7 linked regions of the Macaca mulatta genome follow. The protein of the gene in region 3 purifies or fractionates together with the protein of the main gene of each other region. This does not show direct contact. Links are inferred from orthologs where the notes say so. Each region holds a gene or a part of one and is shown on either strand. Other genes may lie near its edges. The genes, in order: ZFYVE9, RPL11, PML, ZMYM2, RARA, CTNNB1 and RELA.

Evidence for each region.
Region 1: the proteins of PML (region 3) and ZFYVE9 purify together in Homo sapiens (affinity purification with western blotting; 3 studies listed by BioGRID and IntAct, with this or other methods). This does not show direct contact. The link is inferred for Macaca mulatta from reciprocal best matches to the Homo sapiens genes PML and ZFYVE9.
Region 2: the proteins of PML (region 3) and RPL11 purify together in Homo sapiens (affinity purification with western blotting; 3 studies listed by BioGRID, with this or other methods). This does not show direct contact. The link is inferred for Macaca mulatta from reciprocal best matches to the Homo sapiens genes PML and RPL11.
Region 4: the proteins of PML (region 3) and ZMYM2 purify together in Homo sapiens (affinity purification with western blotting; 3 studies listed by BioGRID, with this or other methods). This does not show direct contact. The link is inferred for Macaca mulatta from reciprocal best matches to the Homo sapiens genes PML and ZMYM2.
Region 5: the proteins of PML (region 3) and RARA purify together in Homo sapiens (affinity purification with western blotting; 6 studies listed by BioGRID, with this or other methods). This does not show direct contact. The link is inferred for Macaca mulatta from reciprocal best matches to the Homo sapiens genes PML and RARA.
Region 6: the proteins of PML (region 3) and CTNNB1 purify together in Homo sapiens (affinity purification with western blotting; 3 studies listed by BioGRID). This does not show direct contact. The link is inferred for Macaca mulatta from reciprocal best matches to the Homo sapiens genes PML and CTNNB1.
Region 7: the proteins of PML (region 3) and RELA purify together in Homo sapiens (affinity purification with western blotting; 3 studies listed by BioGRID, with this or other methods). This does not show direct contact. The link is inferred for Macaca mulatta from reciprocal best matches to the Homo sapiens genes PML and RELA.

What each region holds. Positions count from the first base shown.
Region 1 is NC_133406.1:188,440,105-188,444,030, reverse strand, and holds the start of ZFYVE9 (zinc finger FYVE domain-containing protein 9), read left to right. Parts: upstream 1-1,126; 5' UTR 1,127-1,229; intron 1,230-3,926. UniProt on the Homo sapiens protein: Early endosomal protein that functions to recruit SMAD2/SMAD3 to intracellular membranes and to the TGF-beta receptor.
Region 2 is NC_133406.1:217,305,161-217,309,410, forward strand, and holds the start of RPL11 (large ribosomal subunit protein uL5), read right to left. Parts: upstream 2,801-4,250; 5' UTR 2,778-2,800; coding exon 2,772-2,777; intron 2,011-2,771; coding exon 1,860-2,010; intron 836-1,859; coding exon 729-835; intron 1-728.
Region 3 is NC_133412.1:51,727,166-51,731,319, reverse strand, and holds the start of PML (protein PML), read right to left. Parts: upstream 2,801-4,154; 5' UTR 2,680-2,800; coding exon 2,551-2,679; intron 548-2,550; exon of another isoform or gene 1-547.
Region 4 is NC_133422.1:1,840,430-1,844,425, forward strand, and holds the start of ZMYM2 (zinc finger MYM-type protein 2), read right to left. Parts: upstream 2,801-3,996; 5' UTR 2,708-2,800; intron 1,467-2,707; exon of another isoform or gene 1,067-1,466; intron 254-1,066; 5' UTR 185-253; intron 1-184. UniProt on the Homo sapiens protein: Involved in the negative regulation of transcription.
Region 5 is NC_133421.1:64,730,025-64,733,524, forward strand, and holds part of RARA (retinoic acid receptor alpha), read left to right. Parts: exon of another isoform or gene 1-33; intron 34-2,493; exon of another isoform or gene 2,494-2,612; intron 2,613-2,718; coding exon 2,719-2,867; intron 2,868-3,500. UniProt on the Homo sapiens protein: Receptor for retinoic acid. Retinoic acid receptors bind as heterodimers to their target response elements in response to their ligands, all-trans or 9-cis retinoic acid, and regulate gene expression in various biological processes.
Region 6 is NC_133407.1:104,579,637-104,583,133, reverse strand, and holds the end of CTNNB1 (catenin beta-1), read right to left. Parts: intron 2,923-3,497; coding exon 2,862-2,922; intron 1,806-2,861; coding exon 1,597-1,805; 3' UTR 1,585-1,596; exon of another isoform or gene 1,280-1,584; 3' UTR 501-1,279; downstream 1-500. UniProt on the Homo sapiens protein: Key downstream component of the canonical Wnt signaling pathway.
Region 7 is NC_133419.1:8,731,280-8,734,779, forward strand, and holds part of RELA (transcription factor p65), read left to right. Parts: intron 1-592; coding exon 593-684; intron 685-1,010; coding exon 1,011-1,142; intron 1,143-1,969; coding exon 1,970-2,074; intron 2,075-2,290; coding exon 2,291-2,503; intron 2,504-3,500. UniProt on the Homo sapiens protein: NF-kappa-B is a pleiotropic transcription factor present in almost all cell types and is the endpoint of a series of signal transduction events that are initiated by a vast array of stimuli related to many biological processes such as inflammation, immunity, differentiation, cell growth, tumorigenesis and apoptosis.

The sequences.
Region 1 (3,926 bases), on a different chromosome or scaffold from region 3:
TGACTTAGTCCTTTATTTAATAGATATAAATCTGTTTCTTAGTGTCAGTAGCTCTTCTCATTTAGAGTATATCATAGCATGCATATTTTTCTAGTTCTCAAGACAGGGAAATCTTTTACCAGTGATTTTCATTCTTTATTCTTTATTGGGTCTTGGAAACTTGAATTTTAGGTCTTTTTCTTATTCTCTTATTTTTTATTAAGCACATCATTTTCACGTCTGATAATAGAATATTTGTAATGTCAGGAAATTTTTCTTGCTGCCTCAGTTTATCTTTAACACAGTTTATCTGTGTTCATTAAATTATCTCCAATATACTTACCTGTTCTGAAAATACTATGATTATGTGTTAGATATTTTATACTGATAATATAATATTCATAGTCTTAGTTTTATTCTGATTAGCTTCAACTACTAATCTTGTTCAAGGCTAAATTAGGCCCTTAAAGAATTTTACATTGTCTCTAAGCAGTTATAGTTGGGCTACCATAACTTAATGGATATTGTCATATTTTCACAAGAGGGTAGTAATATTTGAAGAGCCTTTGTCTTTTGCATACACCCCTGATAGGGAAGGTTAATATTGGGTTAATAGATCCATTGCTTCTAAGCAGTTGGAGGAGGACTGGAATGAAGAGACTCCATTTGGAGAAAAAAATAGTTTGGCAGTAAAAATCACAACAAGAAACTTGTGAAACTCAACTTAAGAATTCTGTATGTATTGAAAAAAAATCGCGCTAGAAGGACATTCTTGTGAAGCAGCAGTTTTCTTAGCTTTGGATTCTTGGAGGGCCCATTATAAGGCAAATTATATACTTATGAATTAACACAATTGAAGTCATTGGGTAGAAAGTGCCTGCTGTTGATGTTTCACTTTGCATTATCCATTGAAAATAAACGTGCAAAAACTCTTCTTTGTTGAAACATTTAACTTTTGGCCTTTTCAGACAATAAAATGTCTCTGTTGCTGCCTTGCATGCAAGCCAGGTCTTTGAATCCAAAGGTATAATTGTATTTACTGTTCAAGCCCCATTGCTTTTGTTTGTCTGGCTATGATAGATTTATATGAAGAAAATTAGGGTTTATTGTTTCATCAAGTGTAATGAGCAATGTGTTTTTCATTTAGGATCAAACAGAGCATACTGAATCAGCAGGACTGGCTGGTGGTGCAGCAAGCATGAGTAAGCACCGAGAAGTCTGTTCCTTATCACGTGTGTAAGGGGAAAAAGGTAAGAAAATGTTTTTATTTCTCTTAGAGATTGAACTTGAGAAACCAATGAGATCTATAGAAGATAATACTGATGCATATATGTTATTTGCTTCATTTGTAACATTGTATCTTATTAAATCAGGAGTATGATTTTCTTCAAAAAGATTTGACTTAAATTCAGAGGAAAAGGGTATTTAAAAATCACTGTTATTTTATGTCACAGTGGTCACAATGTTAATTTCCCTACCAGTGCTGGCTCCTTCGTTTTAGAGTTAGTTGAGTATAGAAAGGTAATTTCAGAAAAAAATATGACTTTGAGCAATATTTTAGCTCATGCAAGAGCTAAACAAGTAAAGCTGATTTGGGGATGGGGAATCAGAAATGTAAAGTTAATTACATTATTTTATTTTGTATTTTTAGATAAGTTATTATGTAGAGCAATAATTTCCAGCAGAAAATTGGAAGTATTCTTGTAGAGCAGGAACCCTTGACTTTTTCCTAACTAGGAGTCATGTTGTTTTTTTTCAAGTCTTAAGATTATTTAAGGGTGTGAACCCCCAGTATCTGTGTTGGAAACAAGTGCTTGGTGTAGCCAAAAGAAACCTGCACTTAAGACAGAAATTTTCTCAGCAAGGCACTTTTACTTCTGCAGAAGGGTGCTGTTCACTCCTGTTACAAATGCAGGAGCACACCGAACAAAGGAAGGAAGGAAGGGGCTTTTAACCCTAACACAGTTCCTGTTTCTGTGTCTTTCCCCTATTGACTGGAGTTGGACTGCATAATCTAAGCTGATCCTCACTGGCTAAGGCTTAAACTTTTCCAAATAAGGTAAATGTGTGATTTGTGAAGGGGCAGGGTGGGTAAAGAAGAAATGGTTAGGCTTAACAGAAGAGGGGGTAGGATTGTTTACAACTTATGACCAGGAAGTTGAGTCTTTGAAGAGGAACTCAGTTGTACCAACAATCTCCCCTCTTCTGTCTTATAGTTCTTCATCTTCAAGTTTCTTTAACAGGATCTGGCTATGTTGTTCTTCTTGATTATCTAGGTGCAAGAGCTTATCTGAGTACAGAGGGGGAGAGGTTGGGGAGGTTTTTGTGAGAGCTGCTTCTGTGAGCCTTTGGGTTAACCCACAAATACAGGGTATGATACAGCAACCCACAAGGATGAGTACACCTCTAACAATTGCAAGGAAGGTAAAGATTGAGGTCATGAGTCCTTTCCATTTTCCAGACCACCTTTCCATTAGTCCTGTAAAGGGGTCGTCTATTCCAGAGTTTTCGGCTAGTTCATTTGCTAGGATGGTAAGGCCTTGTAAGGCTTTTATGATTGTCCCGTCGGGGGCTGTATTATTAGGAATAAAATAAAACACTGGACCCTGATCATGACATAGACTTCACCTTTTTTGGCCAACACCATGTCAAGGGTTATTCTATTTTCCCAGGCCATCTGGCTGGTGGGGTCTAATTTCAGCAATTCCTTTTATGGCATCTCTGGTATAATTGATGAATTGCTGCTGATTGTAGTATATGTAATGTATCCAGTCTACATTTTTGTTTATAGTGGACTACCAGAATAATATAGACTCGAACCTGGTGGGTATTTGGTTTTGAGCTTTGAATTCATTTGGTACCCTCTGCAGGACCCCGATGCTGTCTATGTAAACTTGGGGGTCAAAGGACCCATTTATTGGGGCTTCTTTTTTTCTTCTGGTTACCTGCTTCCTGATGAAATGCCAAGGTGAAAGGGATGGCCAATTGGATCAGAGCACAAGTGCCACTCCAGTTGCTTGGCAGTGTTCCAAATATTGGTCCCCCTCTATACCACTATACATCCACTTGGGGATGGACTGGGGCTGACTGATTGGTTAGCTCTTGAAAAGGTTTAGGTCCACTGCATCCCATCAGGTTTCCAAGGAATGTCAAATTTTCCCCTTGTTGTAAGAGACACAAGGTAAAATTGGCATTGAGAGCAGGAAGTCGAATGTCCCTTGGGGGCTGTCCCATAGGGCTCCTGACTTTTGGGAAAAGTAGTGAAAGAGTGGCACATGACTTGTTTCCCCAGGCTGTGAGGTGCTGGAAGAGAGCTACCATACAGTCTTTGCCTGATGGGTTGGCCCATCTGAGTGGGAGGGGAACAATTTGGGTTTCTGGCCTGCCTGTTGCACAAGCGTAACAATCGGTTTTATTTAGGGTGTGAATGGAATATTTAATCCATTCCAGCTAGGCATTTACATCTTGATAACCGGTTTCTATGGCTAGGGTTTGCTGTAAATCCTTTACTTCTACTATAGCTACTTTGGTTTTGTCATTAGACATGAAGCGAGAAATGGTTTGATTTTTGTGGTTTTGGGAAGTGAGTAATGGAGGGAGATGGAGGAGGAGGAGCAAACCTCATTTCAAAGATGCCTGTAGGGTCTTTTGCAGTGACATCCGCTCCTAGGCCATAAAGGCGCTCTAAAGTGGGGATACGGTCGGTGGAGGTGGGGATAGGAATAGAGAGAAGTACTGGGTTGCACTGGTGGTTTTGGCAATTTGAGGGGGTGGTTCCTTTGGTGAAGTGGAGGTAGGGTTTTAGGGTGGTGCAACCCTCTAAGGAGGTCCAGCCCTGATATTTGGTGGTCAAGATAACATCTCCTCAACTATAACATAACCCCTTAAAGGCTTGTGGTCGTCGATTGCAAGGGTCCGGGGTGATACTGGTTTTTCTGCGGGTGGAG
Region 2 (4,250 bases), on a different chromosome or scaffold from region 3:
GGCGTAAACCCGGGAGGCGGTGTTTGCAGTGAGCTGAGATCCGGCCACTGCACTCCAGCCTGGGTGACAGAGCGAGACTCCGTCTCAAAAAAAAAAAAACAAAAAAACAAAAAAACAAAACAGAAGTCAATAAAACTTGGCTAGGAACACAATCTGACTTCCTCACTACACCCCAACTACCCAAAATGACCTCTCCCAGCTTCCAAAGAACAGAGAAAAACCCAGATAAAGCAGAGGAATGAAATGACTCCCAAGCATCCTTTTTTTTTGGACAAGAGTTTCACTCTGTGGCCTACGCTGGAGTGCAGTGGCACAATCTCAGCTCACTGCAACCTCTACCTCCCGGGTTCAAGCAATTTTCATGCCTCAGCCTCCCGAGTAGCTGGGACTATAGGCGCCCGCGACCAAGTCTGGCTAATTTTTATATTTTTAGTAGAGATGGTGTTTCGCCATATTGGCCAGGATGGTCTCGAACTCCTGGCCACAAATAATCTATCCTCCTTGGCCTCCCAAAGTGTTAGGATTATAGGCGTAGAGCCACTGTGCCCAGCCTCAAGCATCTCTTAAACCACCAAGAATAGTTTAACCCTGCTGATTGTAAAAAGTCTTTTAGAAACTTAAATAATAAATGTCAAGGCACCAAAGAACAGAACATTAAATGTAACTTATCTACTTGTGTTATTAAGTGGGTGCTCATTAATATCACTCCATTAGGGGATTAGCCTCACCTTTAGACCCTTCTCCAAGATTTCTTCTGCCTTGGCCCCTCGAACTGTGCAGTGGACAGCAATCTTTTCATTTCTCCGGATGCCAAAGGACCTGACAGTGTATCTAGCTGCAGAAAGGGGGTAACAAGGAGTCAGATGCCATCACACCCCCACTACACTCACCTCCTTCCCAGAACACCATCTCCATGACTTAAAGAGGCATTAAGTATTCATCCACACTCTAAGTTGTGGTGTTCTAATTAGTGTCGCCTACATCTATTAATAAGATTTCATCCACAGCAGATTTTCCCATTTCCAGACATCCAGCCATCCTTCAGCAGTTAAGAACAGTCATAATGCCAAAGTTCCAAGAAGGGCAAGTTCACAACCAGAATAAGCCAAAGAAGTCACTAGTAAGATTATCATGGTCCAAAGAAAATAAAGCATTATTGACAATAATCTAGTACTTGCTAAAACCTTATTATTATACTGTTGTCCACATTTTATACGTGAGGTTTTGAGAGGTTTATTAACTTGCACAACTGGTAATAAAAAGCAGGATTGGAATCCAAAGACTTGCCACATTTCACCATCCTAAAGCAACGGCACATATACAACTCATTTTATCTTCCACAATTATCAAGTATTACACCCTCTTTATGCAAATAAAAAAGCAGAGGTCCAGAGAGCCCAGAGTCAGACCAGCAAGTGGTGAAGCCATCACTCAAACCCAGGCAATCTGTATACAACTTTTGAGATAGGGTCAACCAGGCTGTAGTGCAGTAGCACTATCATAGGCCACTGAAGCCTCTCATGCTCCTGTACAGCCCTGTTCTTAAGGCAGCCTATATAACCCTAACTGCTAATCAGATCTAATGATCTTTACTTCGTTCCTGGTATTTCCACTCTATCTCATATCCTAGTTACTTGGGAAAATCTTTACTTGGGCTAGCCTTAGCTTAAGATCTGCTCATATAAAATCCAGTGTTCCAATCCCACATGCAATCTCGAAAACAAAGACACTTTTTGGTCGGCTCATGAATTTAACGCTTTAAGTGATGCCGACTGTCACTTTCTAAACAGACTCGACAGCAGGTAAATTAAACAAACAGGCGACCCAAGTGGGTAGCCCTGTCATTTGTCACTACTCACCTTTGGAAAACACAGGGGTCTGCCCTGTGAGCTGCTCCAAAACCTTGGCAGCTCGGGTCAGTCTGTCTCCACTCTCCCCAACACAGATGTTGAGACAGAGCTTGCGGATGCGAAGTTCCCGCATGGGGTTCTCCTTTTCACCTTGATCCTGCTGCAATGGGGAAGAGCAGCAGTCAATACACTCACAGCTGAGAGCCCTGAGTTTTTACTACTTTCTATCTGCACAGCATTTTTATTTCTGCTCATCCCAAATCGTAACGAAGAAGGTATCACCGTGTTTGGGAGGCATCAAGGAACGAAGTCAGCTCGGGACCTATTCTTCCTCCACGAACGGAACAGGTGAAGAGAAAACTCAGGACAGGTATTGAGTGTTAAAGGTTACGGACACTGAGATCGAACTCTAAGAGGCTCAGGATAACAAAGAGCGCCCCCACTGTAAGGGAAACTAAGGGGAGTAAGCGACGGAATAGAACTTAACTGCTAACAGGAAACACGTGGTTATGCGACGTTCAGCATCCCACTCGGAAGCTGTCTAAAGGCTGGCACCTTCCCTAAGCCGAGCACCCGGCTAAGGTTTCCTAGCACTCAGCAAGTCTCAAGTCCCCGGAACCAGGAAAAGGCGCGGACCCTTGCCTCAGAACCCTCCATTCACCCCATCTGCCCTAGCTGCAGCCTCCTGACAGTGCTTCTGAGCTCTCCCGGCAACTGCCCGGAGCCGCTCCTAAAATGATGGCAGGGAAAGTGACAGAATTCAACCCTGCGTCCTTGGCTCGAACGGCTCTGCCAGTTTTGGGCCGGCAAGCATTGAGGGGTCCATACTCCTCGGGCTGCAGGCGAGGTAGCCCCCGCAAGCTCGGCCTGCCATGGATGGCGACGGATAAAGAAAAGCAAATCCAGATCCCAGCTACTCACCGCCATGATGGGGTGCAGGAAAAGAAAACGGAGCTTCCGGCCCAGGGCCTTATGGGCCAGGAGGCGGGCTTTTTTCCCAGGCTAACCACAGAGATCAAGAAGAGGAAGAGAGGCGCATTTGGCTGCGCAGTGCAGCGTCGGCTTCCCCCTTGTGGGTAGGGCTAGCAACTGCAAGCAACGCTGGCTGAAGACCGGGATTTGGGTTTTCCAAAAATAGTTTTTGAAAGCTCCTAGAATCAGCACGACCTTGAGTTTCCGGACCTTGAAGACGTTCTCTCCTCCCAGTGTCAGGTGCTGGTGGTGCTTGTGTGATGAGACCGCCAAAACTACATTAAATCAATCATGCAAATTATGACGCAAATTTATTCTGTAGCTGGGATTATAGGCGCGCACCACCATATCTGTCTATTTTTTTTGTACTTTTAGTAGAGATGGGGTTTCACCATGTTGGTCGGGCTGGTCTCGAACTCCTGACCTCAAATGATCCACCTGCCTTGGCCTCCTAAAGTGCTGGGATTACAGGAGTGAGCCACCACGCCGGGCACAAATAGAATTTATACAAACGGAATGGTGTGGTAGCTCAAGAGTCCCGAGCTTGAAGACAGGCAGATGTGGTCCTGTCTCGATCAGTTAGTAGCTATGTGACCTTGGGCAAGTTACTACAGGGTGAGTATTCCTAACCTGAAAAGCCTGGGACCAGATGGTTTTTGGATTTGGGATTTTTCCGGATTTTGGAATATTTGCATAAACATAATGAGATATCTTGGAGATGGGACCCAAGTCTGAACATGAAATTAACTTATGTTCCATATACACCTTATACACATAGTGTGAAGGTAATTTTATACAATATTTTAAGTAAGTTTGTTCATGAAACAAAGTTTGTATACATTGAACCATCAGAAACCAAAGGTGTCACTATCTCAGCCACCCTTGTGGACAGTCTCTGGTTGGTTGGCCTAACCATTGTTCCAGACTGTAAATGTATATGCTACTGATAAGCAATACTTTCTTATGCTTATTCACATATGAGTACTTCACAGCAAAATATATGCTATGCCATTAATACCGTGAAAAAGTAATGTGTTCAGGGCAACTAAGCAGCAGAGGAGCATCACCGGAAAACCTGGATCAGCTGTGAAGCAACAGCGACCACCGGCCCCCACCCCACCCGCCACCAGGCCAGCCGCTGTGGCTCACACCTGTAATCCCAGCGCTTTGGGAAGCCGGGGTGGGTGGATCACTTAAGGTCAGGAGTTCGAGACCAGCCTGGCCAACAGGGTGAAACCCCGTTTCTACTGAAAATACAAAAATTAACCGGGCCTGGTGGTGCATGCCCGTAATCCCAGCTACGGGAGGCTGAGGCAGGAGAATCGCTTGAACCTGGGAGAGGAAGCTTGCAGTGAGCCAAGATCACCCCACTGCACTCCAGCCTGGGTGACAGAGCGATACCCTGTCTTAAAACAAATAAACAAACAA
Region 3 (4,154 bases):
AAATGTAGAAACAATCCAAGTATCCATCAACAGATGAATAGATAAACAAAATGTGGTCTACACATATAATGGAATATTATTCAGCATTAGAAAGAAATGAAATTCTGATCATGCTACAACATAGATGGACCTCAATGACATTATGCTAAGTGAAATAAGCCACACACAAAAGGTCAAATACTGTATGATTCTGAGGCAGGAGAATAGGGTCTGGAGGCAGGGAACCTAAGGCCGATTCCCTCTGACTTCCTAGAACTAAATCCAAAGGAAAACCCGAACTCTCCACGCCCAAGTAACAAAAGGACCAGAGGCTACTCTCTTTGCAAAACACCCCATTTCCTGCCTGGCAGATGGAAAATTGAAAGCACCTCTGATTGGTTGCTTTCTACAACCAATGGGGTGAACACCAAGTGGCCAATGGGAAACCTCTAGGGCATATTTGGAACCCAGAAGATTCTGTAACTTGGGCCCTTGAGCCCTGCTCCAACCCATCCCACCCTGTGGAGTGTACTTTCATTTTCCATAAATCTCTGCTTTCATTGCTTCATTCTTTCCTTGCTTTGCTGTGCATTTTGTCCAATTCTTTGTTCAAAACGCCAAGAACCTGAACAACTTGCGGTCAAGACCGTCTACTGGTAACAATTCCACTTATATGAAATATCTAGAATAAGTAAGTTTGTAGGGACAGAAGGTAGATTAGAAGTTACCAAGGGCTAGGGGAAGGAGAAAATGAGGAGCTATTGCTTTACTGAGACTCAGGACACACCACTTCAAAATATGACTGCAGGAGGCCAGAATATGCCACCCTTGAAATATACTTTGTTGGCATATTTTAAGCTGGTTATTCTGAGAAACTGCTGATACAGGAATAGCTCTGAAAAGCTCTCCTTTTGTAAAACAGAAAGGCATTTGCATCCCAAAGAAAATCTACATTAGTAAAATGGTCTATATTAAAAGAGGGCTGCTCCAGACAACTCTTATTATCTAAGAACTTTTTATCTACATAGCAAGACAACAGCTCCTCTCCTCACCCTCCCATAACTTGTGTCATCATCACCACCCAGAAGCTCCAAGCTCTTTTCTGTGGATCAGGATGTTATATAGGCTTCAATCATCTGACCTTTCTTTGAGTCTCATACTTTGTGGGACTCCTGAGTATACATATGTAATTAAATATGGGTTTTCCCCCTGTTAATCTATTTTATGACTATTTAATTCATAGCCCAGCCAAGGAAACTAGAAGGGTGGAGGGAAGCCATCTTTCCCTCCCCTATGGTTTAAAGGGTACAGAGTTTCTGGAGCAATTAAAAAGTTCTGAAAATAGATGGTGGTGATGGTTACACAATATTGTGAATCTACTTAATGCCACTGAACGTTACACTTAGAAATGGTTAACATAGGAGCTTATCCGTTACGTATATTTTACCACAATTTTTAAAATACAAAAGCAGTCCGGGCATGGTGGCTGACGCCTGTAATCCCAGCACTTTGGGAGGCCGAGGTGGGCAGATCACGAGGTCAGAAGTTAGAGACCAATCTGGCCAACATAGTGAAACCCCATCTCTACTAAAAATATAAAAATCAGCCAGGTACGGTGGTGTGGCCTGTAATCCCAGCTACTCAGGAGGCTGAGGCAGGAGAATCACGTCAACCCGGGAGGAGGAGGTTGCAGCGAGCAGAGATCGCACCATTGCACTCCAGCCTGGGCGACAGTGCAAGACTCCATCTCAAAAACAAACAGATAAACAAACAAACAAAAAACAAAACAAAACAAACAACAAAAAAAACCAAAGTGCTTAATACAGTACCTGGCACATTTGAAGTGCTCATAAATGTTAGCTAGTGTTGTTAAGTAATGTTATTCTTAGTTGTAATAATGCTTATAAAAGTTACTGTAATACAGTGTCCTCTGTACTTTCATGAAGGGGAGCAAAAGGGCCTGGAAGGCAGCAGAACAAGAAACCCAAGTAGTTCCTTTGGGGGTGGAGGTGGGAGGTAGGCAGGACAGGTGTGGCAAGAGAAGGGTTTGTTAGGGAGGCTTCCTTAAGCAGAAACCACATGAGCTGGGAGGCCTTGGCAAAGATACCTCTTCAGTCTGAGCCACAGTTTCTCACCTCGGATCTGGGAAGTTGGTTTTAGTTTTGCTGTGCCTGGGACAGGCTCCTGGCTCCAGGCCAGCGCAACAGGGCTACCACCTCCATCCTCCCTAATCTGTGGTCCTGCATCTGAGGCAGGGTTGAGGCAGGGCTCGAGGGTGGGCGGAAGGGCCCAGGCCCGGAGGCCACTGACCCTTCTCACCTTGCCCAACTGCTCCGTGGAGAAACCGCAGCCCAGCGAGGCCGCCCCAACTCCTCCGGGTCCTCTTTTCTACTCTATCCTACCCTCCCATGCCCCAGCCAAGAAGGTCAGGACCCTGGTGTGTGGTCTTTCCGCTTTGTGTCACTCTCTAGCGTACTTGACCAAATCCTCCGTTAGACCCTCTCTTCCCCACTCTCCCCACCACAGCAAACCAATAAAGCCTAACCCCATCATCCCCTAACCCAATAGTACCTCTGTAGGGCTGTGGCTGGGGCTGGGCTGACGGCCTTCCGAGGGGGTCTCGGGGGGAGGCATGGTGGGCGCGTGGGGCCGGGCGGGGTCCTGCTGGGGCCTCGGAGATCGGGCGGGTGCAGGCTCCATGGACCTCAGCTTAGTTTCGATTCTCGGTTTAGATCTTGGAGGGCGTGAAAAGAAACTAAAGGGGAGGCGTGAGCCAGTTGGCTGAGCCCCTTGAGCTGTCCGAAAGGGGAGGTGCCAGCTCAGGGCCCGCCTCTGGAGAGGAAGTGAGACAGAAGCTGGGGGCGGTTCTAGGGGCAGAGAGGCCGACTGTGGGTTTTAAAGACACGCCCAGAGCGGGGAGGAAGGAGAGGCGGGGAGCCGCAGACCTACTGCTGGCTTACGGTAAAGCGGGAGAGGCAGGGCAGAGCTGCAGAGGGGCAGCCCCACCCCCGGGTTTGATCCATTCATCAGTTCACACTGGCACTGCTTCGTGCCACCTCCTGCCGGGAGCTGGGCGCACAAATATGAGCCACACGCAGCCCCTGCTTTTTAAGAGCCCCAGATGTAATGGAAGAGCAAGCTTGCAAACGGAGACATTCTGGAAAGGAGAGCCCTCAGCTGGGACCTGAAAAAGCAGTGGGAATTCACCAGGGATTCAGGGCTGTAGGTGGTGGGGTCCAGGGGACACTGGAAACACAAAAGATAGCTCTTGCAAAAGGCATGGAAGTTTGAAACACGAAAGCCTGTTTGGGAACTAGTTTTGGCCGTTTTCAGATTTAAGAGGGAATTCATGAGAAATGATGCCCAAGAACTGTGCTGGGACAAGATCCTAACTAAGGAGATTGGACCAGTTCTGGGAGTGATGGGAAGTTGGTGAAGGATCTGGAACCAGGGAACAACATGATCAGCTGTGCATGATGGGACAGTCACTCTAACAACCTAGGGGCACGTACCCTGGTCTAGGACAGTGGCTGTGGGATGCAGAGGAGGGTCTTGAGTCAGAGATCCTGGGAAGCCAGTGACTGGAGGTGAGGGAGCAGGGTGACGCCTTGAGTGACAGCTGGAAAGGCTGGTGGATGTGAGGTGGTGGGGGCAGGAGGGAGGGGGAGAGCTGGAGAGCGGGTATGAAGAGGGAGAGGGGAGAGCCAGCTAGGTCTTCACCAGTGGAAAAGCATGCCAGACTCCCAGCTGGTGAGGGGGAAAGGGCACAGCTCCAGGTGACCTCACTGGGCCAGTGCCCCTGGCTTCAAACTTAAACCATCGCAACCACTGTGCTGGCTCCTGTGTACCCATTCTGTACTCTGTTCCAACTTAGAAACAGACTAGAAAGGATGATGATAGGGCCTGGCTCTTGTAAACCTTATAGTATGCGGGCTGGAGGTCAAGGGTTGGGTGGATACCCAACTTCCTAGGGACTGTAAGAGGCCTCAGGAGCCTGCCCTTCCCTCCAGCCTGGTCAGTACTCCCAGGCCTTTAGAGAATCAGTCCATGAAAGCCAAATACGGTGGGCAGCCATCTGCACAAGGGACCTGGAAGTGGGCTATGGCAGGATGGGGCTTTGGAGGCCAGAGGCGATTGGCTGAGGAGGCAGAGCTGGGGAAGCTTTATTCATTTAT
Region 4 (3,996 bases), on a different chromosome or scaffold from region 3:
GAAACAGCAGCGCCCACTCCCAGCTGCCTCACCAGCCATTACCCAGGCTTCGCCCTGGGGGCAGCTGCCACCCAAGGGAAAGCTCCTCCCCCTCAAAACAACTGGGAGGGCCAGGTCCCGTAGCTGAACCCCTACAACCTGACAATGTCCTCTATTAGCAACAAATTAGGGGCAAGGGACTCACAATGGGGGTGTTTTCCTCCTCACTTTCTGCCAAGGATGCACCGGACAGGGCTGAAGGCGATTCTTGGTCCTGGGACAGGAGGAAAAAAGAAAAATGTATCAAGAACACACAACCTGGTGGGAGAAACCAACCCTTTCTGCCAGAAGGAGGCAGAGAAGGGAATAAGAGGTCAAGGAGGTTCGGTTCTTCTATTATTACCCCACCACGCGCACAATAGCCCCCTCCTGCGTAAGTGGGGCAAAACAGCGCAAAATGTATATCTGGGGCCAAAACCCATGTGAAAGGCAAAATCTGGAAAGGAGGGGGCCTGAGGACACCGAGCCTGCTCCCGGGAAGGGAGGGGGGAAGGGAAAACGTTGCCTCGACGCCAGCAAGGGATTTGTATTCCCTCCTAAATTCGCCCACCCAGCGTCATCCCCGTCACTCCAAGTACCAATTCAGAGGTAAGGGGCGGCTCGCGTCACCGCTGGGCCGATATCGCCCACATTTGCCCCAAGCAGTTGCCCTGGGCCCGAGGTTTGCCCCCCCCTGCAGTCGGCGACCGGCAGCGCTGCCTCCCCGTCCGCCATTAGAGACCCAGCCAAACAATACGTGCGGAGCAAGAGCCGCGCAGCGCAGCGCCGAGGAAGAGAAGAGCGAAGGAGGGGACCCGGCGGGGCAGAGGCGGCAGCCCTCACCCCGAAAAACTTGGGGACCTCGGCTCCGGCGGACAGGGTGGGAGCGCGGCCCCGAGCGCGGAGACCCGGCCGGGGCGCCCCTCCCCCGCCCCCCGCAGGAGAGAAAGGAAAATGCCCCGCGACCTCCCCGGGCGGCCGGCACCCCCGCCCCGCCGTCCCGCCGCCCCGCCGGCCCCGCGACCCCCGCCGCTGGCGGCCGCCTCACCCAGCCCTCCCGGCCTCGCCCGCACTCTCCCAGCCCCTCGGGCCGCACGCGAAGGCGCCTGTGACATGAGCGCAGCCCCGAGCTGCCCCCGAGGCCCCGACGCGGCAGCGGCGACGGCGGCCGCGCCGCGGGGTATTAATCCCGGGTCGGTGGGAGGCTCCGGAGGCTGCCCTCACCCATCTCCGCCTCCCTAGTCGCCTCCGCCTCCGCCTCCTCCTCCGGAGGCTGCGCTGCTCCCAGCCACCCCCACTCTCGGCGGCCCCGGACTGGAAAGACAGCGGGGATAAGCCTCACCCGGTTCTGGCTGCGGCTCCGCGGAGCGAACCTCCCCTCCCCCGGCCCACCCCCCTTCGGCGACACGCACAACTCCGCTCGGTCCAGTCCCGGCTTTAGCGCTGGTGAGGAGGAGGAGGCGGAGGAGGCGGCGGCGCGGCCGAGCCCGGGGAGGCCCCGCCCTCCGCGCGCTCATTGGCTGACGGGGGAGGCGGGCCGGAGCGCCTCGGGCTTGCCCATTGGCTCCAACGGCAGTCCTTCAGGGCCCCCCCTCGGTGGGGTGGTCCGAAGGGCTGTCCGTCAGGTGCGGGCCACTCCCCCGGCCCTGCCGTTCCACTCCCGCCTCCGCCGGCCCTCGACTCCCGGCCGGGTCCCCTCCCCGCCGGTCCCCCGCCCCCACCCACCGGGTCTGCCAGGGTCAGGAGCCCGAGATTCGCTGCCCGCCGCACCGACCCCGCTTCGGCTCCTCAGGGCCCGGGGCTCTCCGGGACCTAGACAGCCCGGGAGACTCCGGCGGGGCCGCCTGCCCTCGCCCGAGCCTGGGCGCCCAGGCCGCGGCAGCGGCTCCCAACGCCCCTGCCCGAGGAGAGCCGCGGCCTCGATGCCCCATCGCCCTCCCTGTCCAGTTCCTTGAAGGCCCCTGCGAGGGGCGAGGCCGGGGAGGCGCTGGAGCGGGGCCGAGTGGGCTTTCGGGGCCGCGGGCGAACTGGAGCCCTGACTGCGCTGGGGGCAGTGGAGGCCCTTCCACCCTCGCCGCGCCCCGTGGGGAATAGTCCCCCACCTCCCGCCATGGCTGCAGCAGGAGGAGACGACGTCCTCCATTTTGTCGGCACGACTGTGGGAACTTGGGACCCCCTAAAAACCAAACCCCGTGGGGCCGGGAAACTTGTCCCCGGGAAGCCCCGACTGGGCTCTGCCATTCGGCCAAGGGAACAGCCCCGGCTGCTGGCGTCTGCGTCCGCGGGGCCGTAGGGGACGGGCACGACGGTGGAGAGACCCAGACGCCGCTCCCCGCCTCCATCAACCAAGATGGAGGGAGCTACGGGCTCCCCTGGAGCTGGGCTCCCGCCGGCTGGAGGGGCCGAGGCCCGCCCTGGGGCGTCCCTGGGCGCCGCCGTCCTGTGCTCCGCAGCCCGGGGCGCTGGCCCTGCCCAGGCCGCTCTACCGCCTGCCACCGTCTCCTGGTCCTCAACTGTTGATGGAGACTCCATGGAGGCTCCCTCCACAGCCCGCTCCATCGCGGGGCGCACTCGCTGCGGCCCCCGGGGGAGCGGAGTCAGGGACAGACGGCGACGGCGCCCGGGGAGGGCGGGCCCCACAGGCCACCTCCACGAGGGGTCTTCTCTTTTGTTCCTCGTCTACACCTACGTCTTCGGCGGACGTCATGGTGCTGAACCATTTCCAAGACTCACGTAAAGATGGAAGCGGTGCCGCTTGCTTCTCGCCCTGGCGGTTCTTAGTGGGATTACAACTGAGGGTGTTGGTTATTTTCCCACCCAAATGGATGGGCGACTTCTCCATTTCACCATTATCTGACACCATTGCCTATTAATAAACAGATGTATGGTAATACAGTTTCAAGTTCAACACGATATTGATGAACATGAAGTTTTCAGTGAAGTTAATCACCCATGAAAGACTGATGTTTAATAGACGCAACTTCACAGAGGAAATCTAGTAGAAGTTGAATTCAGTCACTCATTGAAAAATAAAGTAGGCTTTCCACCTTGTACTAAATACCTTGAATACACTGTTCTTTTCTATTGAAAAAAATTAATAAAATGTACTTGAACCAGCTTTTCAAAAAGTATCACTAATTTTTAGGAAACTTTTGTAACTAAAATTTTTTAGTTTTAAATACACTAAAATAGCCTCTTAAGATTTTATATTACACAGTGCTGTTTTAGACTGAAAAACTATCATCACAACAGAAACATCACAACAAAAACAGCCACTATCATCAAAACAGACACATCCTCTACTACCAAATTGTAATAATTTGGTGAAAACTTGCACCATCCCTTTTCTGCTGCCAGCTCGTATTGCAGTAGCTTCAGCTCATTGAGTTTATATTTAGAAGAGTAAAGTAGACATACTTCCAAATAAGCTCTGTGATAAACTTAAATGATAGATTAGGTTGCCATGTACTGTTCAGTTGGAGCTCTATACTGCTACTAATTCCCTAGTGTTATTGCTGTTTTATATAACTAATGAGCACCTGTGCTAATTATGGTATTTATATGCACTTTTTTAGTTCATTCAGGTACATTTGTCCATGAAACTCTTCATTGGTTTGCTAGTCTGATACCAGGGAGAATTTTCGTTGAGAATTTAGAACTGGGAAAAAAGTATTTGTCATAATGTTAAAAGCAGACTTAATTTTACATAAAAGTAATTTTAAAAATAAATGTTTGAATGTTCATAACAGCATTCATAATTTCCAACATCCCTAAAATGTCCATCAACTGATGAATGGATAAACAAAATGTGGTACATCCATACAATGGAACATTATTCAGACATAAAGAGGAGTGAAGTTCTGATATACGCTACAACATGGACAAACCTTAAAGACATTATGCTAAGTGAATAAACAAGACACAAAAGACCACTGAATATTTTATTCCATTTACAAGAAATGTCTAGAATAGGGAAAT
Region 5 (3,500 bases), on a different chromosome or scaffold from region 3:
CTCTGTGGGGCGCTGGAACTTTGAGCTGAGAAGGTGTGGTTCTCTAGCCTGAGTCCTTCTGCAGGAAGAGGAGAGATTGGTGGGCTGGGCCTCTGGGGAGGGAGGTCAGCAGGGAGGGGCCAGGCCCGGGCAATCCCTCCCACGTTGGTGTCCCTCCCAGCCCCACCTGTGTGTGCAGGGAGTTATGGCTGTGTCCTACCTCTTGCAGAGGTTGTGAGGATTCCGGAGTCCCCCACACCTCCGCCTTGATCCTTGTACCTCACCTCCTTGGGTTGCTGGCTGGAGGCCTGGGGAGGTGGGGCCTCGAGCTCTGGGCTCAAAGGGCAGAGCAGGGAAACCTCAGAGCTGGGTTACCTGGGTGACAGGTGGGGATGTGCTGGAGGGTAGGGGGCAGGCTTGTTACAGCCTCCAAGGCAGCCAAGCTGCCATTGGGTAGGCTAAAAGGAGGCCTTGCCTAGCCTAAACTGTAGTCCTCGCCTCTGGTCATCTCTCCCATTCTGCCAAAAAATGATTTTAAAAAGCACATTCTTTCAGTTCTGTAAACACCCTCTGTTGGACTTTGCTTTAGCTCCACGTTTTTATGGGTCTTTACCCTCTGGTCTGTCCCAGGCCTTGGAGCTGTTTACCCCTCCTTCTGGTATCCCCCATGACTCCCCATACCCTAGCTCCCCTCCTGACACCCCACTCTGTGCCCCAAACCTCCCTCAGTCCTTTCTCCCTTTCCAGTCTGTTTCATTTTAGAAGTGGGGCCTTGGGAGAGGCGGGGCCCAGGGCGAACGGTGGATTAGGAGGGGTGGGGAGGTCGGTGCCTTCTTCCTCTGCTGGTCGGAGTGCTCAGCGAGATTCTAGACCATGGTCCCCCCAGCCCTCCACATACCCCCTTGCCCTTGATCCCCCTCCCCCCGCCAGTCTGGATTGTCTATTGTTACTGCTTTTACGTCTTGGAAAAAGTTAGCACAACAAAGGGCTCCTTTGTGGCTCACCCCTTCTGCCTCCTGGCCTCACCCAGGCCCCCCAACCCCACCTCCCCCCAGCAGCTGTTCTCAGGCCTCTCAGCCTGTCTGATTTGCTTGTCTGGCCTGGGGAGAATGAGGTGGGAGAAAACCAGGCCAGGGCAGTTGGTGTTGGGGTGAGGAGCAGACGGGGGTGGGGGGCGGGCAGGGGGAGACGGGGGAGGTCAGGAGAGAATCTACTGGGCTGGGGGCAGTGTGGGCATCAACTGTCCCATTGCCGCAGGCTGGTCTGGGGCAGGGAAGGGGATGAGGGGCCATAGCAGTGCTGGTCAGCCAGGCTGGCCAGGAAGTGGTGCCCAGGTACTACTAAGAGCCAGGAAAGCCCTGCCGAGGTTGTTGGCCTAGTTCCCTGTCATCAGCCGCCTAGTAGCTCCCCCTGTGTCTGCAGGTAAGGGCAGAGGGTGGTAGCACAGAGTCAGCCCCTGGTGTTCCCATGCTTCCTTCCCCTGTGCCCCAACTTTAGGGCCATGTGATTTGGGGCCATGTGACTCATGTCTGTAAGGTGCCTGGGCCAGGCGCTGTGGGCACCTTTAAATGCCAGCCAGTTTCATGTGCTGGAGTTTGGGGTAGGGCTCAGTAGGACTGTGGAATATGGGAGGAGGCAGGGATCTGTCTACTTGGCGAGGCATCCTCATCCATCCTTGGCCCTGGACAAGTGGACTTGAACGTGGTAGGCCTCAGGACGATGCTGGGTGGCCCCTTGGGAATCTGGGATTGCCTCAGTCATAGTTCTTATCTTGCACCCAACACCCTTAGCTGCCCAGGCTTTGGACACAGATAGCCCCTGCCCAACCCAGCCCTGTTCTGCCTACAGTGATGGGTGGCATGGAGCCAGGCACTGGGGAGGATTTGGCCAGTGAGGGCTGCCCCTGCTGTCTGGGTCACCCCTCCTGGCTGCCCTCTTGGAGCTGAATAACAGAAGGGGAGGGGTACTAACCCGGACATGGTATTGAGGCCAGACAGACAGAGCATTGATGGGAACAGACCCCCTTTGTCATGCCGTCTCTCCCCAGATGGGGGGTACCCAGAATGATGGGATTCTGGGGCCCTGGGGACTCTTCTCCCTGTATTCAGGGTGTCTCCCTGCCTATCTCAGGGAGACACCTCCTGCTCTGCCCAGCATTTGTGACTCTTGTTTGCACCCCCTGCCTTGGGTCCCTGGCCCTGGGATTGTTTGGGTGGAGGAGGGGCTGTGGCTGCTGGCAGAATGGGGTGGAGGGGGGAGCGGAAGCAGAGGGGGCGGGGGAGTGGCCAGCTTTGAATATCCTGTTGACCCCAGTTTCCTCTGCCCCCGGCTTGTGTCCTCTTCCCTCCCTCCTCTTCAAGCCTTAACTCCTTCCTAACTCGGGGGAGAACGGGGCCAGGCCGCCCAGGGGCAAGAGCTTTAGAATCAGGGTGACCCCCACCCCTACTCCCCAAGCACAGTCACGGCACACATACAAATCTGATGGTTTATCATTGTCTCTTTGTGGTTTTGAAGGTGTGGGTCCTAGGAATCCGGAGGAGTGATGGGGCGCTGGAGGCTTCATTGGCAGCCTCCTTCCCTGAGTCTGGCTGGGGAGTCCCAGTTTTCTTAAGACTTGAATCCTGCCAGCAGTGGTGAGGCTGGGAGAGGCTCTTAGGAGGGACTGTGAGGCAGGGTGGAGCTTGGTACTAAGGATGGCGGCCTAGGTCTCTAACTGCCCCTCCCCTCTTCTCTCTCTAGCCATTGAGACCCAGAGCAGCAGTTCTGAAGAGATAGTGCCCAGCCCTCCCTCGCCGCCCCCTCTACCCCGCATCTACAAGCCTTGCTTTGTCTGTCAGGACAAGTCCTCAGGCTACCACTATGGGGTCAGCGCCTGTGAGGGCTGCAAGGTGAGTTGAAGGGGTCATTGGGAAGGACAGCTTGATGAGGTCAGTGGGATATCCCCACTTCCGTGTCCTGGGAGTGTGCAGTTGGGGTGGGGGGTGTCCCTGAAGTTGCTGCTGTTGTTTTTCTGTGGAAGTTGGCAATAAGCAGGGACACCTACCATAGGTCCTGCCCCATAAATGTGCAGGGCTCCCTCAAACCAGAGGTCCCCTCCTGCCTCAGCTCCTTTCCCTTTCTCCATCCTCCAGCTGGCAGGGCGTATGCCTGCTCTGCCACCGCTGCCCAGGTTGCCATGGTGAGCTGGCTGCCGACTGGCTCTTGGCTGGGGACCCAGGAGGCCTCCCTCGGCGGCCCTGCCTGAACCTCACCATGGCAGCCTGGCAGGAGGCAGTTAGGAGCAGGCACCATGCCTTGGCTTCCCCTTCAGGTGCCCGGGCTGTGGGCTCCCCGGTGTCTGGCTGAATTTCCCCACCCTCACGTTAGGTGCCAGGGTGCAGGTGTACCCGGTCCTTAGCAGCCCTGTGCCCAGCTTCTCCTCCTTTCCCCAGGGCCTGAGCCTCTGTGTGCATTTCTTCCTCCAGATATTGGGGCTCAGAATCTGCACAGGTTTGGGCCTTGCAGCTCTGGGCTGCTCTTCA
Region 6 (3,497 bases), on a different chromosome or scaffold from region 3:
TGACTGATAGGATCATCTGGCAGATAGATAGTGTGGAAGGCTCATTCTGGTTCTGATTATGTTCAGATAAACATCATCACTTAAACCTATTTAATTATTAGTTCAAAGTAGAGTTGAAGGAATTCCCCTCTCCCAATGAGTCACACTTGTGTGAAGGTGATTCAAATCCAAATCCAGGTAGTTAATATTTCATTACCTTAATGGAATCAAACCATCGGGGAGATTGGGGTAGAGAGAGATAGATGATAGACAGTCTGCTTGGCTTTCTCCCACAAAAGCCCAGAACTAATCACAATGTGCAAGGCTGAAACACGTTTTTGGGGGTGCAATGTAACCCAGGGCCAAATGCTGAAGAAACTTGGCAAATTGCATCTAGAGAAGGGCCTCTCTATCGCTATAACAAATTACTTCACTATGTATCTTCCTCAGTATAAAGTTGAGTTGGATAAACTTACCACCCTCACCATTTAATGACAAGAAAAAAAAAGAGTGACACAATCGAATGAATTAAAAGTTTAATTCTGAACCATTTTTTATAACCGCATTTTCTCTTGAAGCATTGTATCACAGCAGGTTACAACAACTTTGGGATAAAAGGCAACTGGTAAACTGTCCAAAACAAGGTTCCAAATAACACCTCTTACTGATTTACCCTACCCATACATATCCCAAATAAAGTTTTTGATCAAAAACATGAAATAGATCCACCTGCTTATTTTAAGCATATTAAAAAGGAAACTAATTGGACCATTTTCTATTTGTCTATTTTATACAAAAAGGCTACACAATGTTACACTTTATTCAGATTACAATTATTAGAGTGATTATGAATTAGTGTTCTACACCATTACTCAATTCTTAAAAATTAGAAATTGCTGTAGCAGTATTCACTATAACTTAACACTACGAGAGACTTAAACTAACAGTTACTGCAAAAAAAAAAAAAAAAAAAAAATTAAAGAGCTACTTCAAAGCAAGCAAAGTCAGTACCATTACAGATATTAAAAAAAAAAAAAATTTAACAAGCAAGGCTAGGGTTTGATAAATTCCATCTTGTGATCCATTCTTGTGCATTCTTCACTTCTTGAGTCACTCCCAAAATCCATTTGTATTGTTACTCCTCGACCAAAAAGGACCAGAACAAAAAGTTTACTTCAATTGTTCCCATAGGAAACTCAGCTTGGTTAGTGTGTCAGGCACTTTCTGAGATACCAGCCCACCCCTCGAGCCCTCTCAGCAACTCTACAGGCCAATCACAATGCAAGTTCAGACAATACAGCTGTATAAAGAGAGAAAGGCTGCTATTAATGTTTAAAACAGCAAATGTTACTCATTTGAGTATTAAGTTGCAAAAGCTGTGGCAAAAAACATTAAAGTTAATAACTTCCACACATGATCACATAACAACCAGAAATCTGAGAACATTCCGATGTTCCAAGACATCTCCTTTCAAAGTATATACCTGTTTTTGTGGCAGATTTACAAATAGCCTAAATCACTCCCACCCTACCAACCAAGTCTTTCTGAAATTCTGTAGGCAGAGTAAAAGTATTTTACCCAAACTGGCTTTTTAAAACTTCTTACCTAAAGGATGATTTACAGGTCAGTATCAAACCAGGCCAGCTGATTGCTATCACCTGGAGGCAGCCCATCCATGAGGTCCTGGGCATGTCCCAGATCTGGCAGCCCATCAACTGGATAGTCAGCACCAGGGTGGTGGCCACCCATCTCATGTTCCATCATGGGGTCCATACCCAAGGCATCCTGGCCATATCCACCAGAGTGAAAAGAACGATAGCTAGGATCTAGAAGAGTCAGGGTATGAACAAAATAGGCAAGAAGGAAGGCAAAAGAGAGAGGAGAGAAACAGACATAGACATTAACACTGAGGTTAGGGCATCCAAAGTTCAGCAGCAAACTTGTCAGAAAACAATGCTTTCTAGCCTCTTCAACTTCTAGCTTTTTTTAGCCAAGTAATTACTCAGTGCCAGACCACCCATGAGACTACACAAATAACGTCTGTTTCCATCAGAGAGGCACACCAGCAGGGCCTAGTCACATCATTAGTCTAACCCTGAACACACTGCATTTACCCCTGTCAGACTTGGGGTTCCCAAGAAGGAGAAGCAGGAATCTACTGTGTGACCACCTAGGCAATGAGAACTCATGGGAAGGAGGATTAAGACAATAATGAGGTCTGGCAGGTGTAATCTATCTTGACAAAAAGTCCAAGTGACACCAACAAAAGTACTAAGGAAAGTTAAGGCACTATTTCAATGAAACCTCAACATATTTTATCTTAGGGTTGACATGTTATTTGTCACAGTAAGAATCTGCGCTTTAGTGGTTTCATAATTAGGTAGAAGCAGATGAGGTTATAAATGTAAGACAGTTGTAACTGTTACTGGTCTACCCCATCCTCTATGTTCATTACCCAGATGTGAATTCGCTTTTCAAGAAAACCCTGATAATGCAACTATGTAAAAACCCACCCCAGATCTGAGCCTAGAGACAGGAGTTTTCCTGTCTTCCTTGGGTAGCTTGTAGACAAAAGGTATTATGAGTCCTCTGGCCAAAAAGAGAATAAAAAGCCAGGTAAACTGTAACATCCTACACTGCAGAGGCCTAGTAGTAGCATGTATTTGTTGGTGGTGTAATCCTATTGCTATTCATTGTGTGGCTCTGAATTCCCTGTGCTCCGTTAAAGATACTGTTGCTGACTGGAATTTAAGAACTGCTTTTAATTGAAGCCATTACTTTTCTGCCAACACTAGTTTCCCAGATGAGCAAACCAGCTCTTCTGATCAAGTTTTAGAACTTTAGCTTGATCTGGAGTTAATCGAGAAATATGAGACGCATACCATCCTGGCGATATCCAAGGGGTTCTCCCTGGGCACCAATATCAAGTCCAAGATCCGCAGTCTAGATAAACAGGCACAAGGCAAGAAAGAATAAAAAGCAAAATGAAAATTCTCAACTTAAAAGTACACTAATTTTTTTAAAGCATACTTTCAGATTACAAAGGAAACAAGTAACTCCAACATTACACAAATACTTAGAAAATGGAAGTTCTTCAAAACTCCACCCCTCAAAGATACATTTTTTTCTCTTTGCACCTCACATTAAAAATACTCACTGACTTGATCTTTCAACAAATACATATTAAGCACCAACTATGTGCTGCCAGGCACTGTTCTACGTGCTAGAGATATAGCAGTTAAAAAAAAAAAAAACAGGCAAAATGCCTACCCCCAAACAGGAGCTGCTGACAGGATGTGTTGTATGAAAGAAAAGTTTTAGCCTGAGCAGCTGGACAGACAAAGCTGACATCAAGACAGAGAAGACAGTCAAAACAGGTTTGTGGAAGGGGGTAGGTGGAGAAAGTTAAGGGCTCAAGTTGGAACATGTTAATAAGATGCCTATTAAAAACCCAAGTAACACACCACTCACTGGTAATTTGCTCTCCTTTATTTATTTATTTTTTTTTTGAGTTGGAG
Region 7 (3,500 bases), on a different chromosome or scaffold from region 3:
ATCTGCCTGTCTCAGCCTCCCAAAGTGCTGGGATTACAGGTGTGAGCCACCGCACCCGGCCCAACACCCTGTCTCTTAAAAATAAATAAATACACAGATAAATAAACAAGGTGCTGTCAGAGTAACAATTTCAGTCCTGAAAATAAAACAAAGTCATAGGATAGAAGGATAACCTGGGGTGGGGGAGTTACGGGAGCTGGTGTGATGACTTTAGATTGGAAGGTCAGGGAAGGCCTCCCTCCTTGAATGGTGAGAAGGAGGAGAGAAGTAGGAAAAGAACATTCCAAGCCGACCAAACAAGTGCAGAGGCCTTGAGGTGGGAATGAGTGTCCTGTGTTTAGAGAATGGAAAAGAAGCGCCTGTGGTTGTAAGCAGGGAGCCCACGGGGAGGCTGGCAGGGGCGGGGGCACGGAGGTGCTTGTCAGCTGAGGGAAGGGACAGGGTTCATTGCAGCACAGTAGGAAGCCACTGGAGGGGGTCAAGCATGGAGCGATGGTCTGGGGGTGGGTGGGGGAGGAAGGAGCAGGCTGGGCAAGGCAGGAAGGTCCGGGCTGTGTGAGAGACAGCGGGACAGATGGCTGGGGGTGCTCAGTTTCCAGAACCTGGGAATCCAGTGTGTGAAGAAGCGGGACCTGGAGCAGGCTATCACTCAGCGCATCCAGACGAACAACAATCCCTTCCAAGGTGAGGGCTACCCTGCCTGCCGCCCCCGCACCCTCTGCCACCCTCCCTGGCCCGCCTTTCCTGCATCTCCCTCATTGGCCAGTACACGGTAAAGATGGACTCTTGGTGCCCATTCGGTACTCTCCCACTTTGCCATTGGGAAACTGAGGCCCAGGAGGGGACATGACATTCAGGTCACAGTGGAGTCACTGCTGGGTTCTGCCTCCTCTAGGACTTGTGTTTTACACACTCGCCAGCGGCCCTCCCAGAGCAGAGCTCCCTGCCCCAACTGGTCACACCTATATCCCCACTTCCCCTGCTCTCCTGATCACCTGTTTTCTTGCCAGTTCCTATAGAAGAACAGCGTGGGGACTACGACCTGAATGCTGTGCGGCTCTGCTTCCAGGTGACAGTGCGGGATCCATCAGGCAGGCCCCTCCGCCTGCCGCCTGTCCTTTCTCATCCCATCTTTGACAACCGTGAGTAGCGAGGGAGACACAGGAAGGGGAGAGGGTGGGCCTGGATAGGAGGAAGGGGTTGGGGTGAGTGTGGCCTGCAAGAGGTGCTCTGATTCATCAGTCATCTTGTGTATTCATCTTCTCTTCTGTGCCCAGCTCTTTGTTGGCTGGGGAGAGAAGGCAAAGAAGACCCAGAGCTGTCCTTGAGGTGTAGCTCCGGCCTGGCAGGGAGTCTAGCAGGGAGTCTGATGGGAAATGGGCATTTTCAGTATCGTGTGATGAGAAGGTGGTGTGCCCACAACTGCGATAATGACTCTAGGAAACGAACTCCCAGGAATAAGATAGTGTTCGAGAATGATGCTTCAGTGACAGAAGCCCGCAGACGAATTGGGCTGACTGATCAGCTGCAGTCTTTAATTAAGTAACCAGCAGGATGAATGGAAATAAAACGACTCTGGAACCCCAAAGATGGGAAACCAGGATAAACTGGGGGTCAGGAGGGAAGGGCTCATTGCCAAGGTGGGTATGGACTGACCTTAAAGATTGCTTTGGTCAGGTGGAGACACAGTGTGATCAGATTGGCACTCACTGGACTATAAGCTCCGTGAGAGCAGAGGTTTAGGTTTTGTATGTGGTTGTATTCTCCTTGCTTAGATCAGTAGGCAAATACTTGTTGAATTGGTTGGGGTGAGGAGCTAATAAGAAGGTCTGACTGTGGCTGCAAAGGTGTAGGTGGCAAGCTCTGGGCAACCTTGACTTGGGGCTAGGCAGGGAAGTTGCATCTCCTGCAGGCCACCCCGGGGACCTCTGGTGGCTCAGGTCATCCTTCCTTGTTCTCACTGCCTCAGGTGCCCCCAACACTGCCGAACTCAAGATCTGCCGAGTGAACCGAAACTCTGGCAGCTGCCTCGGTGGGGATGAGATCTTCCTACTGTGTGACAAGGTGCAGAAAGGTATACATCAGGAGGCAGGGGTGGGCTCTTGGGAGCAAGGGGTGAAGCTGAGCAGAGACGGGGCGTGGCAGGCAACTGGCTTTGGATACTTCCTCCTATGCCTCAGGGGCCTCAGGTGGGCCGAAGGGTGATATTAGAAGACAAGCATCCGAAGTTGAGGGGGAGACCGTGGAGGGTTAGACACACTGACCCACACTGCCACCCCATCTCCTGCAGAGGACATTGAGGTGTATTTCACGGGACCAGGCTGGGAGGCCCGAGGCTCCTTTTCACAAGCTGATGTGCACCGACAAGTGGCCATTGTGTTCCGGACCCCTCCCTACGCAGACCCCAGCCTGCAGGCTCCCGTGCGTGTCTCCATGCAGCTGCGGCGGCCTTCCGACCGGGAGCTCAGTGAGCCCATGGAATTCCAGTACCTGCCAGATACAGGTACACAGCTGGGATGGCAGCATCAGGGCAGCTGGGCTCTGCCATGAGAGAGAGGCCAAGACCGCATGTCTGGGGCTGTAGTTGAGGGCCAGAAGCTGGAGTCAGAGCTTGGGATTTATATGGTAATTGGAATCCATTTCTTGCCACATTTAATGATAAGGATACCTCAGACGTTGAGCTAGTACTACACATCTGCCCTATTCCAGGCATTTCACTGGATCACCTGATTCTAATGTCATGACCCTTTTGAAGTAGGAGATAGTGTCTGACTTGCTTGGGTTCACGTGGCTAGTAAGTAGCAGAGTCAGCATTGGAACCCAGGCCATCTGGCTTCAAGGTCCTTTTGCCACACTGGTTGTCTTGTCACTACCATAGAGCTCAGCCACATTTTGGTCAAGGTTTGAATGTCTACTTGGTACCAGGGCCTGTGCCAGGTATTGTGAATACAAAAAATGAGTAAGACAGGCTCCCTGCCCTCAGAATCTCAGTCACTTGAGGAAGACAAATATGCAAAACAGATCCTTAAGTCACAGAATGACATGTGAAACAGAGGTGTGTGCAGAGCAGCACGGGGGCACGGTGGCCTCCGGGGAGCTGGAGACAGCTGCATGGAGAAGGTGGCGTTGAAGCTGGAGAAAGACACGGAAGTGTGTTCTCTAGGCAGGTGGCCAAGCACCTGGAAGGGAAGGGGTGTTGGCAACTGCACGGCCTGTTTGGGGGCATCTTCGTGGTTTGAGCCGATGTTGGGCAGTGAGCAGGCTCAGAGGAGGGCGTGGTTAAGCTGAAGGCCTCTAAGCAGAGAAGTGACAGGAGCAGATTTGGAAGTTGACTCAGGAAGCCACATGTAGAAGATCAGAGACGAACAGACTCAAAGCGGGGAGGCCATTCTGGAAGATGTTGCTGTAGTCCAGGAAAAGAAGATGCGGCACAAACCTCGTAGAAGGAATAGCGAAGCAAGATCACATCTCCGCCACTGTCCTCAGTTACCCTTCAGCCC